2 linked regions of the Tamandua tetradactyla genome follow. The protein of the gene in region 2 interacts with the protein of the main gene of each other region in a pairwise test. Links are inferred from orthologs where the notes say so. Each region holds a gene or a part of one and is shown on either strand. Other genes may lie near its edges. The genes, in order: TNNC2 and TNNI3.

The links.
Region 1: the proteins of TNNI3 (region 2) and TNNC2 interact in binary tests that used the Homo sapiens proteins (3 or more experiments, as listed by UniProt). The two-hybrid records come from large-scale screens. The link is inferred for Tamandua tetradactyla from reciprocal best matches to the Homo sapiens genes TNNI3 and TNNC2.

What each region holds. Positions count from the first base shown.
Region 1 is NC_135327.1:6,387,941-6,395,545, reverse strand, and holds TNNC2 (troponin C, skeletal muscle), read right to left. Parts: upstream 3,114-7,605; 5' UTR 3,002-3,113; coding exon 2,993-3,001; intron 1,546-2,992; coding exon 1,494-1,545; intron 1,381-1,493; coding exon 1,237-1,380; intron 1,146-1,236; coding exon 1,031-1,145; intron 921-1,030; coding exon 784-920; intron 507-783; coding exon 475-506; 3' UTR 331-474; downstream 1-330. Other genes in the region: SNX21 (sorting nexin-21), read left to right, coding at 7,373-7,605. UniProt on the Homo sapiens protein: Troponin is the central regulatory protein of striated muscle contraction. Tn consists of three components: Tn-I which is the inhibitor of actomyosin ATPase, Tn-T which contains the binding site for tropomyosin and Tn-C.
Region 2 is NC_135342.1:4,545,788-4,553,474, reverse strand, and holds TNNI3 (troponin I, cardiac muscle), read right to left. Parts: upstream 3,225-7,687; 5' UTR 3,066-3,224; coding exon 3,055-3,065; intron 2,814-3,054; coding exon 2,768-2,813; intron 2,331-2,767; coding exon of another isoform or gene 2,316-2,330; coding exon 2,274-2,315; intron 1,958-2,273; coding exon 1,826-1,957; intron 1,529-1,825; coding exon 1,439-1,528; intron 1,011-1,438; coding exon 834-1,010; intron 150-833; coding exon 66-149; 3' UTR 7-65; downstream 1-6. Other genes in the region: DNAAF3 (dynein axonemal assembly factor 3), read right to left, coding at 4,079-4,487, 4,572-4,646, 4,818-4,932, 5,556-5,685, 5,962-6,084, 6,193-6,318, 6,475-6,657, 6,959-7,116. UniProt on the Homo sapiens protein: Troponin I is the inhibitory subunit of troponin, the thin filament regulatory complex which confers calcium-sensitivity to striated muscle actomyosin ATPase activity.

The sequences.
Region 1 (7,605 bases), on a different chromosome or scaffold from region 2:
CCCCTTCCTTCTTCTTTCTTCTCACCCCCATCCCCGCCCGTGCCGCGCAGCTGCAGGTGTGACAAGTGTGGCACCCAATAGCCAAAGGTCCCAGAAAGGGAGGCCTCCAGAGTCACCCCGCGGTCCTGCCGCGCCTGCACCCTCCTCGGGCTGCCAGCTTGCGGGACTCGGCGGGAAGCCCCCCGCGGCCTCCGAGCGGCCCACGCCCAGCGCCAAAGGCCCGCAGCCGGCCGTGAACTGGCGAGCACGGCCCCACGCCCTCCCGCATCCCGCCGCTCCCGCCGCCTCGCCGGGGAGACGTCCCCGGTCCCCCTCACTCAGGCCACGCGCTTTGCAATGTTTGCGTTTATTCCTGCCGGACGCAGACCCAGAAGGCGCAGCGCCTCCCTGCCGGGGCCGGGGACTGGGCGCGGCTGCGGCCGAGCCGCCTACGGCCAGGGACACGCGGTGTCGGCGGGGGCGCGGGCCGACTCCTTACTGCACACCCTCCATCATCTTCAGGAACTCTGCAGGGAGGGAGCGGGAGAGGGCATCAGGGATTACCCACTCGCGACGCGGAGAACTGCGGCAGGGGCCGAGCGCGGGCCGGCCAGGCCTCGGGCCACGCGGAGGGGCCACCCCGGTACTAACTAACAAACCGCACAAACGCTCCCGCACGCCCGACCCGCCCGCAAGGGGGAGGGGCCTCGGTCGGGCTCCGACCGGCCCCGCCCACAAAGCCAGCGCGCGCGTGTGCGCCCCCCGCGCATGCGCCCCCCTCGACTTGGCTCCCGCGGCCCTCACCGTCGAAGTCGATGCGGCCGTCGTTGTTCTTGTCCCCGTCCTTCATTAGGGATTCGAGCTCCTCGTCCGTCACGTGCTCCCCGGACGCCCTGAAAATCTCGGCCAGCTCCTCGGCGTCGATGTAGCCGTCGGCGTTCCTTGGGGCGGAGCGGCAGCACGTCGCCCCGGCCGCGCTCCTCGGCCCCTTCCCGCGGCCCCTCCCTCCCGGGGACTCGCCCCCAGGCCCCTCCCCCCGCGCCCTGCGCACCTGTCGAAGATGCGGAAGCACTCCGCCAGCTCCTCCTCGCTCTTGCCCTTGGCGTCCTCTTTCATCTGGCGCACCATCATGACCAGGAACTCCTCAAAGTCGATGGTGCCGCTGCCTGAGGACGCGGGGCGGCCGCCTGAGCCGGAGCCCCGGACGCCGCCCCTCCTCGCCGTGCCCCACCCCGCCGACCCGGGGCCTGCACTCACCGTCCTCGTCCACCTCCTCGATGATGGCGTCCAGCTCCTCCTTGGTGGGCGTCTGGCCCAGCATCCTCATCACCGTGCCCAGCTCCTTGACGCTGATGTCCCCGCCGCCATCGGCATCGAACATGTCGAAGGCGGCCTTGAACTCTGCCCGGAGAGTAGGCGTCCAAGGCTGCGGCGAGCTGGCGAGCCTGCCAGCCCCACAGCCACCCTCCCACCTGCCCACGCACCCCCACACCCGGTGCCCCCCGCCCACTCACCAGCAATCATCTCCTCGCTGAGATAGGACCGGGCCTCAGCCTGCTGGTCCGTCTGCAGAAGACACGGGGAGTCAGGATGCAGGGGAAGCAAGCCCTCGGGCGGATTCTTGCCTTCACCCTCTTCCCGCCACCCCCAGTTTCTGTGAGTACTCCTGGGGCCTCAGGAAAACCGGGTCCACACTTGCCGAGCTGCTGCCTGGCCCCACAGCATCCACCCCAGTTGAAAAGAACTCAGGGGCAGACACAGGTTATGTCCAAGATCTCCTCGTTTATCAGTCTGAAGGCCAGTCGACAACCCCCACTGACCTTGGGCAAGTCACTTAGTGTACCCTCATTTTTTCTCTAGATTGAGATGAAATTACGGGTGTGAAAGGGCTTCAGAAAGCATCATTCCAGCGTGATTTTTCCTAGCACCTGATAATGCGGTCCTACTTCAGGCGGTGCTCAGTAAATGATGACGCAACACAAAGCTAGTGGGCATGTACTGTGCCAGGCCACAGGCCATACACGGACCCAGAAGACCTGGACTCATCATCCCTCCCCTCAGAGAACTTGCAGAGGTGGAAGGCAGGGCTCCAAATGGTAAGGTTCTTAGGACTTAGTCATCCCAGTAAACACTCTCATGCTAGGTAAAAGGTGCTGGTGGCCTTGAGAGGGCGAGAGTAAGATTGCCGTAGAGCTTTCCGGTCATATCCCAGCCGGACCATCTGTGGAGGCTTCATGGAAGGAGGGGCCATTGGACTGATGCTTGGCAGCGAGGAAGGGCTGAGATGTCCAAGGAGTTCTTCAGCCACTGCCTCCCCCTTGCCCCCCCTCCTGCCACCCTTCTTTCCGGTGCCAGAAGGGCAGGCTATTTTTAATCAGGCAAGGGCAATAGCAGCTGGTCTCTGGGGTCTAGTTACTCCTTGAAGTGAAGTGGGGTGGGGGTGGGGGTCTCAGGAGAAAATGACAGTCCCAAATCAGAGCCCCTTTCTGGGAGGCTGCGGTCTTCCCAAGTCTGGTCTGTCGTCTTCTGCCTTTTCCCATCACTCTCGAGGCTCTGGAGCCCTGCACCTAAGCTGGCTGCAGGCACCCAATCTTCTGGAGAAGCTTTTCCTACCATGGACAGTTGGAAGGTTTGGCCAGGCTTGAGGCCCACTCCTGCCACTCTCTCACTGGGACCTTAGTCAACCTGCTGTGGGTCTCAGGGTCCCCAACTCTACCGTGAGGGAGATAAGTGAAGACCCCTCACAGCTCTGTGACTGACAGTGCTGGGAGTCCCAAGGCCTGGAAGGAATCGGCAAGCCTTGAGCATCAACCCATGGAACATCCCAACCTTCCCCTTCCAAGAGAAGTAGAAGGCCTTCTTCCCAGCCTTCCCCCAAGACCCCTGGCTTCCAGGACACTTCACACCGCAACTGTAAAACTCCGACTTACTGACCCGCATCCTGCACACCCGGTCTGGCCTGGGAGAGGCCCAGAAGTGCTCCAGCAAGGGAGAGAACGAAGTCCATCCTTACCCTTACCATGATTGTCGTTGGCTTGGGATCCTCAGCTGCGTGTCACCTCCTCTGCACACCACCACCCGAGGATGCCCCAGCCCTCTCCAGCCCCCGGGATTTGTAGGGGCCCCTTCCCCTCCCGCCTTCCTGCTCCCCAGGACTGGTTAGCCTGGCCAATCAGATTCTGGGGTCAGCGAGCCCCACCCCTCCCAGAATCCTAGCCCATTACCTAATTTAGCCAAGGGCCCTTGCAGAGAAATTTAAGCCTCTGAGCAGGTGGCAGGCCTTGGCGTCCTAGATTCTTGTGAGGAGGACTTTCCCTGCTCCCTGCCTCAGGGAGCCCCGGCTCAGGAGGCACACTTGTGCCAAGATGGGTACCGACAATCAGAACAGAGGAAAATGGGGCAGCAGGGGAGATAGAGTAGGCAGAGCACAGCTATGCTGTCCAAAACCCAAGATCCAAAGTCCTGCCTCTGTGAGCTGTGTGACACTGTGCAGGTGGCAATGCCTCTCTGAGCCTCAGTCTTCTCATCTATGAGATGGGGATAGTCATAACCTCCCTTACAGAGAGATCGCTATAAACAGGAGCCCAGATATGCCACCTAGCCTGTGCCAGGTACATGGCAGGCAAGTCCTGTCTTTAAACCTTGGTAGACAGCTATGACCAGTTTGTTGAACCTTTATGACTTGCCACACACTGAGCATTTAAACCATATGAGCTCAGCTAGTTTTCATCCCATGAGGTAGTAACTATTATTATCCCCATTTTCCTGAAGTGCTTTGGAAACCATAAGCATCTGTATGCATGTTGGTGATTCTTATTATTAATCCTGACAGGGATAACCTGGGACAGATGGTCCTGGGCAGAGGGGGAGGAGGGGGAGGGGGAGATGATGGGGGCATTTGGAAGGGGTCATGAAGGGGGCTGTAAATAAGATAAGCATAGAGAGCAGACAGCCTGTCTCCTCCAGGAAAAGGGTGTTTGGGATTCACTTTGGTTTTGATTTTGGGTTTTTTTTGGTGGGTGGGGTGGTGGGGGAATGGGTGGTCCCAGGGAAAGTTTCTCTATAGTTGAAGGGGCAGCTGACCTCCTCCTAGAGCTCCATGAAGGTATCTGGAAGAGCTCAGCTGGCCATCTGGAGAGTGAATGAAGTGGGCAGCTCTAGTCTGAAGAGAGACCACCCAAGAATCCTCAGGTTCCAGGCTGGGCATTTTGGGGTAGGCCAGGCTCCTGGACAGTGGCTAAATCAATAGAAAGCGCACCAAGCTGGTAGGGCATGGGTCCTGGGGCCAGGGAGGGGGTGCTGCACAGCAGGGAAGGCAGATGGACAGTGACAACTGGGCTGCCTCCTTTCCCTATATATAGACATTCCCAAGGAAAGCTCAGCAGAACCAGGTCAGGCAAAAAAGGACCTCCCCCAGCCAGGCAAAGGGCCAAGGGGCAACACCTAGGGGCCTCCAGTTTGGACACAAAATACTTGGAAACAGAGGTTGTGAACCTGCAGAGATTGTTTGTTCATTTGTGTGTTCTTTCATTCAGAGAAATAAAGTCAAATTCCTCAGTGTGGCAAGCAGGGTCCCATCTACCCCTCTGATCTTACTCCTTCCTCCTCTCTCCACCTTGAATGCTGCTCTGCTGTGATCAGACTTAAATACTCCCCCAAATATCACCCTTTAGAACCTCCATGCCCTTGTGCATGTTGTTTTTTTCTACCAGGAACCCCTTCTTCCCTCTCTTTGCCTGCCTACTTCCCTACTATCTTTTTCAGCTTTAACATCTCTTGCTCCAGGATCCCCCCTCCCCTATTCTCAGGTCAGGGGACTTCAGAGAGGTCTCCAGTAGTTTCTTGAATCACAGCACTGAGCATGCTGTATGATCACAATGTGTTCTGTATCACCCTGACCAGACACTGTTTCCTGTTCACCACTGCATCCTCCAGGGCCTAGCACTTGCCACTTAGCAGGCATTCAATACATACATAGCTGAAATGACTGGGATCTGATTCAATAAAAGGAAGGACTAAATAACAATCACGGGAACCAGCAGCTTTATAAGGAAATGAGCTCCCTGTCACTGGATGTTTTCAAGCAGGAGTTAGGTAACTATCTCGCAGGGAGGTTGTAAGGAGATGGCATATGCAGTCTAAGAGTTTTGGGGAATTCAAAGTTGTGGATCAGAAGACCTGTTGTATGGGTAAGTCCATTCCCCTCACTAAGCCTCAGACTTCCCAACTATAAAATGGAAGCAATAGGCCAGATTTTTGAGAGACCCTTTTGGCTCTGGGCTCCAGTTTGCTAAAGCTGCGGGGATGCAATATATCAGAAGTGGGTTGGCTTTTACAACGGGGATTTATTAGTTGATAAATTTACAGTTCTAAGGCCCTGAAAATGTCCAAATTAAGGCAGTAACAGAATGATACCTGGACTCCAAAGACAGGCCACTGGCATCTGGGACCCCTCTGCCACATGGGCACACACATGGCTGGCATCTGCTGCCTCCTTTGCTCCCAGGTCCCCTTGCTTTCAGCTTCTGGTTCCAGCAGCCTCTTCCCTGAACTTCTCCGGTTCTCGTTCCACTCTGAGCTCTCTTTGGGTGTTCTACTCTGAGCCCTCTGGCTTTTTCTGCCTTTTATCCTCTCATAAAGGACTCCAATAGAGGATTAAGTACCCTCCTCCTTGAATTGGGTGGGTCACATCTCAATTGAAATAACCTAATCAGAAGGTGCCACCACAAAGGGCTCACACCCGCAGGAAGGAACTAAAAGATTATGGCCTTTTCTGGGGTACATCACAGCTTCAAGCCAGCACACTCTGACAGCCATGGTTTTATGAACACTATTTGTACTCGGTCTTTTGAGGCATTTATCAAAGTGCAAGGTAATATTCAGCCAATGTTTATTTATTGGCATAAAGAGCAGGAGGAGCTTTGAAATTACATGGATTTGTTCCCCTATTTCCTAGCTGTGGACCTTGGGAAAGTCAAGTTGCCTTGGTTTCTTCATCTTGAAAATGGATCATCATTGTCCAGTAATAGACTCCAGGATATTGTGAGGGTGAAATGTGACACCATGTAAGGTGCCGCCAACTGAACTCTGGACGCCGTGGCACCTAAGAAGCGAACCCTGCCCCGCCCACTTGAGGGAGGGCAGAGAGTGTGCTCTCTGTGCAGACACGTCCCTGCCACTCCTCTCCAGGCCCACTCCCAACAGGGTTGCAACTGCTTTCAGGGAGGTTTTGTTTAATCGTATAACTAAGATACCTGCCCTGCTAGAGACAGACATCTAGACCTTCTAACAGGAAGCCTCAAATGATTCTTAATTCTTATCAACCGACCCTTCCCCTCCACAGAGAAAATGAAACCGGCGCCCCAGAGGAGCTGCTGAGATGACAGCAGCCCTGCTGCGCGGGAGAAGAGCAGGATGCGGAGCTCAGGAGGCTCTGGTTCCAAGTCCCCACACCTAGAAATCTCTAGCAGGCTGTGGAATTTTGGGCAAATGACTGGCCTTCCTGGTTCTTAGTTTCCCCTTTGACCTACTCCCTACATGCGAGACTCAAATGAGCTTGTGAAAGCCTGTGAGCACTGTAGAAACAAAATCATGATGTAACTGAGCATTTCGTCAGCCCCTGCCTGGTGCTGGGCCCTGGGATCCCCGCCTGAGCTGATGCTACCAGTTGCAAAATTACAGTCAGATCAGACGCCAGCCCAGATCCCGCACCCACTCCAGGCCCGGATTCCTCACTGGAGAAATGGGCGTCCTCTGCTGCATAATGACTTCGGAAAGTTAGAGAGCTCCGGGGACAACGAAGTGGAAAGATGGGGCGGACAGGGCTGCTGGGAGGGGTGCGAGGGTTCGAGGAGGGTGCGCTCCCGCCCAGTTGGGGGACAACCCGGCCGAGGCGTGAGGCTCGCCCAGGCCGGCCCCGGATTCCCAAGTCCCTCCCGGGGCGCGGGGCCCGGAATTCCCGGGCGGCTCCGGGCAGCGGGCGGGGCCGGAGGCGGGGCGGCGGCAGGAAGCGGCGCTCGGAGCGGCCTGGGCCGGCGGAGCCGCGGCGCCCGGCCGGTTTCGGCGAGCCACAGCGGGGTTGCGGGCCTTCCCGGGGAGCGGGGCGCCCTGGGCGCTCGGCGGGGCGCCGGAGGTAGAGGCGCGCGGGGCGGGCAGAGAAGCGGGGAGGACCCGGTGACCCTCCGCGGAGGAGCGCGGCCCAGGCTGCGCGGGCGGGGGGATGGCGGCGCGGCAGGAGGCCCGGGGCGCGCGGGACCCCCAGCGGGCGGGGGCGGGGCCTCCGCGGCGCCCCTCCCTCCACCGGCCAGTGCCCCGCCCCTCCGCCGCGCCCGGGCTGGGGGCCACCTCCCGCAGGGGCCGAGGACCCAGCCCCGGGTGCTCCCCCCAGGGTGCCATGGCCTCCCGGCTCCTGTACCGGCTGCGGCACGCCCTGGCCGGCGACGGCCCCGGGGAGGCGGCGGGCGGCCCCGAGGCCGAGCAGTTCCCGGAGAGTTCGGAACTGGAGGACGACGACGCCGAGGGCCTGTCCTCGCGCCTCAGCGGCACCCTCAGCTTCACCAGCGCCGAGGACGACGACCTCGGGGACGACGACGACGACGAGGAGGACGCTGGCCCCGACCCGTTGCC
Region 2 (7,687 bases):
CCCAGCTCAGAGAGAAGCTTTATTCCTCGGGCCATCCTCAGGGCCAGGCTGGCGGGCAGGCGGGCTCAGCCCTCAAACTTTTTCTTGCGGCCCTCCATTCCACTCAGCGCGTCGATGTTCTTGCGCCAGTCTCCCACCTCCCGGATTTCCTGGGAGAACGGGACCAGAAGTTAGGGTCTCTCCCTGACCTCTGGCCCCTCAAGGAACCCCACGTGCCCTCCTTGCTGCCGAGTGGCTCTACACTGGATGCCAGTCCAAGGGCCTGATTCGAGAACATTTCTTGCCCCCTCAAACAATGTCTGTCAACATGCACTTCCTGTCTCCGTCATACGCTTCCCGTTTTCCTTCATGTACTTCCTGTTTCCCCTCACGCACTTCCTGTTTCCCCCACGCACTTCCTGTTTCCCCTCACGCACTTCCTATCTCCCTTCTGCACTTCCCGTTTCTCCTCGTGCATGTCCTGTCTCCCTCCTGCATTTCCTGTATCCTTCATGCTTCTCCTGTTGTCCCCCTGCTCTTACATCCGTGCATAATTTCTCTCTTCTATGATACTTTCTGTCTGCCCCTCCCTCTTCCTGCCCCCCTGCTTACTTCTCTTCTATTTAACTTGTTTTTGCTTTCTTGACCCCGTCCTGCACTTCTTGCCTCCTTGATGCTTCCTCTCTTCCTGTAACATTTCCTGTCTTCCTCTTGCATTTCCTATGTCCCTCCTGTACCTGGCACTGAGGACCCCTTACCAGCTGCTTCTACCCCAGACTCCGTGCACCACCTCCTTGGGTTATGCCGTAGGGTTGCTGACCCCCAGAGCCCAGGGACCGCAGCACCACACTCACCTTCTCCGTGTCCTCCTTCTTCACCTGCTTGAGGTGGGCGCGCAGGTCCAGGGACTCCTTAGCCCGGGTCCCCAGCAGCGCCTGCATCATGGCATCCGCAGAGATCTTCACTCTCTTCAGGGTGGGTCGCTTAAACTTGCCCCGAAGGTCGAAGATCTTCTGGGTCAGATCTGCGATCTGGGAACCACATGGGGATCTTCCCTTGACTACCCTGTCATCCGGCTTTTCCACCTACATCCCCTGCCTTGCAGTACCCAGGCTTCATCCAGTCCCCAGCTCAGGCTCCCACTGGCTTCAGGACAAAATCCAAACTCCTCATCCTGGAACGCAAAGCTCTCTCTGATCTATCACTTCCCGCTCCAGACACACATTCCCACCATCGCACCTTCTGCATCCCGACTGCTGCCTGGTTTGCCACAGGCTGCTCCCTCTGCCAGGAACACCCCTTCCTGGCCATTTTATACTCATCCTTCTGTCTCCTCCCCACCAGGTCCCCACAGTTTTCCCGGGTCTGCCGGGGACTGCAACCAAAAGGGGCTGCGAGAGGTTCTCCCAAGACATCCCACCCCGCTCTGACGGGCACCCCAGCGGCCCAACATCACCACCTCCTTAACGTTCTTGGTCACTTTTGCCTCCACGTCGTATCTCTCATCATCCACCTTGTCCACGCGGGAGTGGAGCTGTCGGCACAAGTCCTGGTGGAGAAGGAGGGTGCATGGGGGGCGGGTGGACGCTGGGGGCCTGAGTTCCTGGGTCTGACACAGGAGGGGCTGGGGGAGCAGACTCTTGAATGTTTAGGAAGGAGGAGACTGGGCCCCTGGACATCTGATCCTAAAAGAGGATCCAAACAAAGGGTGCTCGGAGCCAAGAGAGTCTGAGGGTCCTGAGCAGAAGGGGTGAGAGTGACTGTCCCAAGTGCCCAGGGGTGCAAGACCGGAGCCCGGGTCCGGAGGGTCCCAGGCTGCGTAGGAGCCATGTCCGGCAGCCAGTACCTGCAGCTCCGCCAGGCCGAGCCCTGCCAGCTCCAGGGGCTGGCACCGGGCGCTCAGGGCGCGCCCCTTCTCCCCGCGCCGCTCTTCCGCCTCGCGCTCCAGCTCCTGCTTGGCGATCTGCAGCATCAGAGTCTGCGGGGTGGCAGGGGGACCGCAGCCCACCCGGGTGGCCGGATGAAGGCTCTCCCCGGGGGGAGTCGCCTCTGCCTTGCCCTCTCATCCCAGGCCCTGTCTTCGGGCCTCCAGGGACCCGCCCCCTCAACCCGGTTGTGGGGGGTGCTGACTCAAGCCACGCCCCTTCAGCACTGCCACGCGCGAGCCCCGCCCTCACTCGGTCCAAAACCACGCCCCTGGCGCCCGAAGCCCACTCTCAAGCCCCACACTCCCTCCCTCTCGAGTCCCGCCCCCCCCCCCGCCCCCAGCCCCGAGCACCGCTTTGTCCCCTCACCTTCAGCAGCAGTTTTCTCGACGCGGTGATCTTGGACTTTTTCTGCCGCGGTGACATGCGGTGGGAAGGAGCAAAGAAAGGTGAGGGAGGAGGCCCCGGGGCAGGCGGAGGGAGGAGCTGCAGCCCGCGCGCGCTCCAGGCAGGTGCGGGTTTCCACGCAGCTCAGCCGGGCCCACCCGTCCGGGGCTCCGGCCCCGCCCCGCCCCTCCATCGTGGGTCAGCCGGGGGCCCCCGAGGCGGCGCCCACCAGTCCCAGCCCGGCCTCCGCGGGGCGCAGTCCCCGCCGCCCCCGCCCGCAGGCCCCTCTACCCCCATGGGCGCCGTCGCCGCTGCGTGGGCCCCTCACTTTGGCGTGCGGCTGCGTGGCGTAGGCGCGGTAGTTGGCTGAGGAGAGGCGTCGGATCGGGGCGGGCGCGGGGCCCTGGGTAGAGGGAGCGGGGCTGCGTCACCCCGGGGTGCCACCCTGCCCTCCCCAAGCCCTCCCCAGGGGTTACCCCGGCCTCGCGGTCCCAGCCTGCTGCTCTCACCGCATCGCTGCCCCTGCAGGGAGAGAAACCGGGGACAGGGACTTGGGTCGCGCCTCCTCCTTTTCTAAGCGACCCCAGGGCCCCTCTGACCCGGAGGTCGTGCCACCGGCTCCCCCTTCATTAGGTCCCAGGCGTCCGGCTCCCTCCCCTCCACCTCTGGACAGACGTCCCTCGCCTCGCTCAGGGACCCGGGACGCGGCCCCCACGTCTCCAGCCCGGGACCCCAGGGTGCCGGGCCTCCACCCCTCACGCACTCATCCGCCATGCCGAGTCTCAGGCCCGGATCTGCGAGGGCCAAGAGACAGATCCAGGGGTCTCAGAGGGTCAGTGAGGGGGCGCCCGGGTGACCTTGGAGGTCCCTGGGTCGCTCGGGTCCCTCTGGCTGCTCAGGCGTCCCGAGGACACTGAGATAAAGGACGAAGGACAGAGACTAAATATACTGCGCCGCCTCCTCCCTCTGCCCAGGATGCGAGATAACGGGGCGCGTGAGGGGCGGGGCTGGCCGCGCTCCAGCTGGATCTCCCCGCAACCTTGGCGGCCGGGGCCCCCTCGCCCAGCAGACCCGGCAGTCCAGGCCCCCAGCCCCTCAGTAAAATGCAATGTCCTCTAGAAGGGGACGTCGCAGGACTCCAAAGTGGGGGTTTCGGGGAGGGGGAAGGGGGGCCATCCCCGGTGGGTGGCGGCAGGTGGGGGTGAGGCGTGATCAGAAGCCCCATGACAGCTAGACCTTAGTCTAGATCTTTTCCCGTCCGGGTCAGCACCCAAACCCTCAGGAAGTTCTTCCATTGTGGATCCAGGCGTGGGGGTCCCGGCGCCCACCCCACAGCCCTTCAGACGCCAGCTCCAGTTCACGTGGAAATCTCGTCTCGGGTCTCCCCTCCTCACTCCCCAGGCCCCTCCCGCCACCAGCCGCTGGAGACAGCCTGGGCGCCAGAAAGACACACGGACACTCGGAGAAGAGCACTCAGCTGTCTTTACTGGAACCTGTTGGGGGCCGGGCCGACCGGGCAGGAGAGCCTGCCACCCTCAGAAAGGGGCAGGGACCCCACGACGCGCGGTGCAGGCACAGGGTCCGATCCCAGGGCCGGGTCTCAGGGCTGGGGTAGAAGTGGATTTCTGAATTCTGGAGAACAGTCTAGAATTCCTAGAATGCAGGACCTCAGGAACGGAATTTGAAATTCTAGCAACACTTCTGGGGCTGAGTGAGAATCTTAAGAGTAAAACTGAGAATTCTACTGACAGGTTTCGAATGATAACAGAATTAGATGGGTTCTGACTTCAGAACTGAGACATGGGGGACTCGGTCTCTGGGGGTGGCGTCAGACTCTCTGGCTTTGGAGTCTGACTCGCTGGGGGCGGGGGCAGAGACTCCTGGGGCAGAGCCAGAAGCTCCAAGACTGAACCCTGGGTCTCAGGGGGCCGGTCAAAAGGCTCAGGGGGTGGGGCCAGTTCCTTAAGACGCGGGACCAGGCGCTCAGAAGGCGGGACCAGGGCTTCTGGAGGTGGAGTTCCACAATCCGCAGTTGGGTCGGCGCCGCCAGGAGGAGAATCTCCGGACTTGCAGAAGCGCGCAAAGGTCTCCGAGGGCGCGGCCCCGGGTTGAGGAACGAATCCAGCTGCCCGAGCTAGCTCCCCGACCCGCGCGGAGAACTCCTGCAGCTGCTCCGGCCGCAGGTCTACGAGATATCTGAGACCCGGAAGAAGCACGTCAGGGGCCCCTGCTCTCGGGTCCCAGGCCCGGCCGCCCCGGCCCGGTGTCCATCTAGCTCACCGGGCTAGTTCCACGATCATGCGCCCTCCGGGGGCCACACAGGCCCCGAGTTCAGGGCTGAGAAGATGGACCATTCTGCAGAGAATAAAGAGAAGCGGTTGCAATTCCAAATCCCGGTCCTGAGGGAGGAGAGACTGGGGGTCTGGACCCCCGGGTCTAAGGGTGGAAGGGCTGGGGGCCTGCACCCCGGGGTTGAGGGAGGAGGGGCTGGGGGAAGGAGATGTGGTGCCTCCCGGGTTCTCTTACCCGCAGGCCAGGTAGAGAAGCTGGAACCGTCCCTTGTAGCAGCCTTTGTGGTGGAGGGTCTGGGCAGAACCGAGGGGCAGGAAGTGGATAATGAAAGACTCCGGGGCGGCGTCTGCTGAGGAGCAGAGAGGGGCATCCCTGGGCTGTGACGCCAAGGTGGGGTGCGTGTGTGTGTGTGCGCGCGTGTTAGACGCTGACAGCGTCTGGACAGATGCACAAGGCTTGGAGCTAACGCTCCTTGTAAACATACACCTTGAAATCCTTTTCTCATCCTTTCTCTTAGGTAGGTTCCTGGAAAATCCTATAAGGGTCGGCCAGAGAGGTAGAGGCCTATTTTACCAACCGAAGAACTGAGACGAGACAGAGAGAGAGAGAAATTGGGGCGGGCAGGGCGCCGTGCGCAGACGGGTCAACACCCAGGGAGAGCCGCGTCGGGAATGGTTAGAGAGTGGCAGGTGTGTGTGATGAAACCCAGTCTCCAAAAGGTGACTGGGACCCTGCTCCCTGTTAGAATGCTCTCAGCCAGACTTCTGCAGGTAACCAGAATTCTATTTGTGGGATTCTGAATTCCAGGAAGAGAAGCACAAAGAGAGACTAAGACGCGCCGTCCGGAAGGGGAGGTCACTGCCCCCGGACTACAGGGTGAAATGCCTGGAGCCTGAAGCCCCGTCCCGCGTTCTCCCGGGGCGCCCGAGCCCGGCCTCCCAGTTCCCGGGGAGCGCCAAGCGCGCGGCTTACGGGGCTCCGGGGCTCCCTCCCCGACGCGCTGCGCCTCCTTCGGCGGCCCCTGGGTGGCCCTCGGGCGCCGCCATGCGGACACCTCCCGGAACAGCGCCGTCACGTTGCGCAGCGTGATGTCGCCCGCGGTCTGCCGGGGGAGGGGGCGAGGCCACGTGCTGGGGTGGGGGCTGCGGGGCGGGGCTAGAGCACTGACCGGGAAGCTGGCACCCGAGACCCGAGCTCCGGGCGAGCTTGGATAGCGGAGGCCTGACTGGCTTAAACCCCCAAAATGGCCAAGGAACGCCAAGACCTGAGGCGGGGGCGGGGCCTATAGGGAGGCGGGGCCAGGGGTGAGGGGCGGGGTCTGGACGGCGGCGGGCGGGGCCTCGCCGTGGCTCCCCCAGCCCGCCCAGCGTCCGCACACCTTGACCGGCTTCCCGTTGCTGGTGCGCAGGAGGCTCTGGTCGTCGGCTTCGATGCCAAAGGCCACAAAGGGCCCCGTGGCGATGTCTCCCCAGTACCCGCGCGCGGCCACGCGCTCCCCGCGCTGGGAGAGGAGGGCGAGAGGAGGCGGGTGAAACTGGTGCTGGGGCCCCCCAATAACTGCCTGGCTCCTGGAGAAGGAGGAGGGGAAAGGGCAGCGGGCGACACGCACGTGGCTCAGGAGGCGACCGGACGCCAGGGTCCGGTTGGGGACGTGGTAGGCGCTGGAGTCTCTGCGCTCAAAGGCGACGCCGGTGTCTCTCCAGCGCCGGAACTCGCGAATGTGGATGACCTGGGCCTGGGGTGCGGGGCGGGAAGGAGGCCCAGCGGGTTGGCCTGTGAGCTCCCAGCCTCTCTCGCCTCAGACCCGGGTCCAGGCCCCCAGCCCCTCCACCCTCACGCCCGGGGGTCCGGGCCCCCAGTCCCTCCCCTGGGCCGCAGGCGCGCCCCTCACCCCCCGGTCGTGCAGCTTCATGTGCAGGTCCCAGTCGCTGACCCCGCGCCGGGCGTCGTAGCGGGAGCCCAGGTATTGGCGGAGCCGCGAGTCCCACAGACGGCTCATGGGGAAGGCCTCGGGCCCTTTCTCTCCGCCCGCCCAGAAGCGGAACACCGCCTCCAGCGCGTCCCGCTCGCGGAACTGCTCCGGCACGCGCGCGTGGAGAAGGGAAGGAAGTGGGGAACGGAGGGCGAGCGGCTTCTCTAGCCTGACCCTCTCTCCACTCCAGGGGGTGAGAAGGAGCCTTTCTCGGGTGAAGAAACTGAGGCTTCAGGGAGAGGAAGCCCCCTCCCCCGGCCCCGCCCAAGATCCCACAGTGGGAGCCAGGGACCTGGGATCCCAACTCCAGAGCCCCAGTTCTCGCCATCTACACATCTGTCTCAGGACTGCCCATTTCCATTCTCCCCAAGGCCATCCGGAACCCCGCGGGGGGGGGCGGTACCTTGAGGGCGCTGAGGCTGAGCCAGGGCAGCTGCTCGGCCAGACACTCGGGCTCCGGGACCAGGTGCGCCAGGCGGTCGGCCTGGGCGCGCACGACGGCGCCCACCTGGGCACGCAGCAGCGCATTCCCCCACACCTCCAGGAAGGCCTCGCTCCTCTCTGGGGGGAGTTCAGAAATCAGACAGGTGTGTGTGTGGGGGTGAAGACCCTTTCCAGAGTATATGTTCATTTCTATTGTTATCTAATTATTTCATATTTATTAATGAATAAAATGAAGCCGGGCCAACTCTGCACAGCGCAATACCTACAACGGGAACTGTTTACCCTAATCTAGGTCTGTTTCCTGTCTTTCTCCATCCCACCTGTCCTGAATTGCCTGTGACAATTTGGGTGGGGGGAGTGCGCTGCGGGAGGCTGCATGGGCCAAGAGTGGAACCCGGTCTCCCACATGGCCGGCGAGCATTCTACCACCTAATCACACACCTTCCTCCTTTCAGCCTCAGCTCCAAGGCCGCCTCCCTGGGGCAGACTCCCCGGGCCTCACACCTTCAATTGAGGGAGACGAAAACCCTGCCCCACCCCCTGTCTCTTCTGCCTCTCCTCCTCTAGGGTTCACTCCAGGGAATCTCCTCATCTCCCTTGGCCTTCTCCCAGGGCAGGAGATGTTGAGCACTGACATGGCATTACGCACTATTCTTAAAGTTTCATGTGGATTTTCTCCTGGAATTCT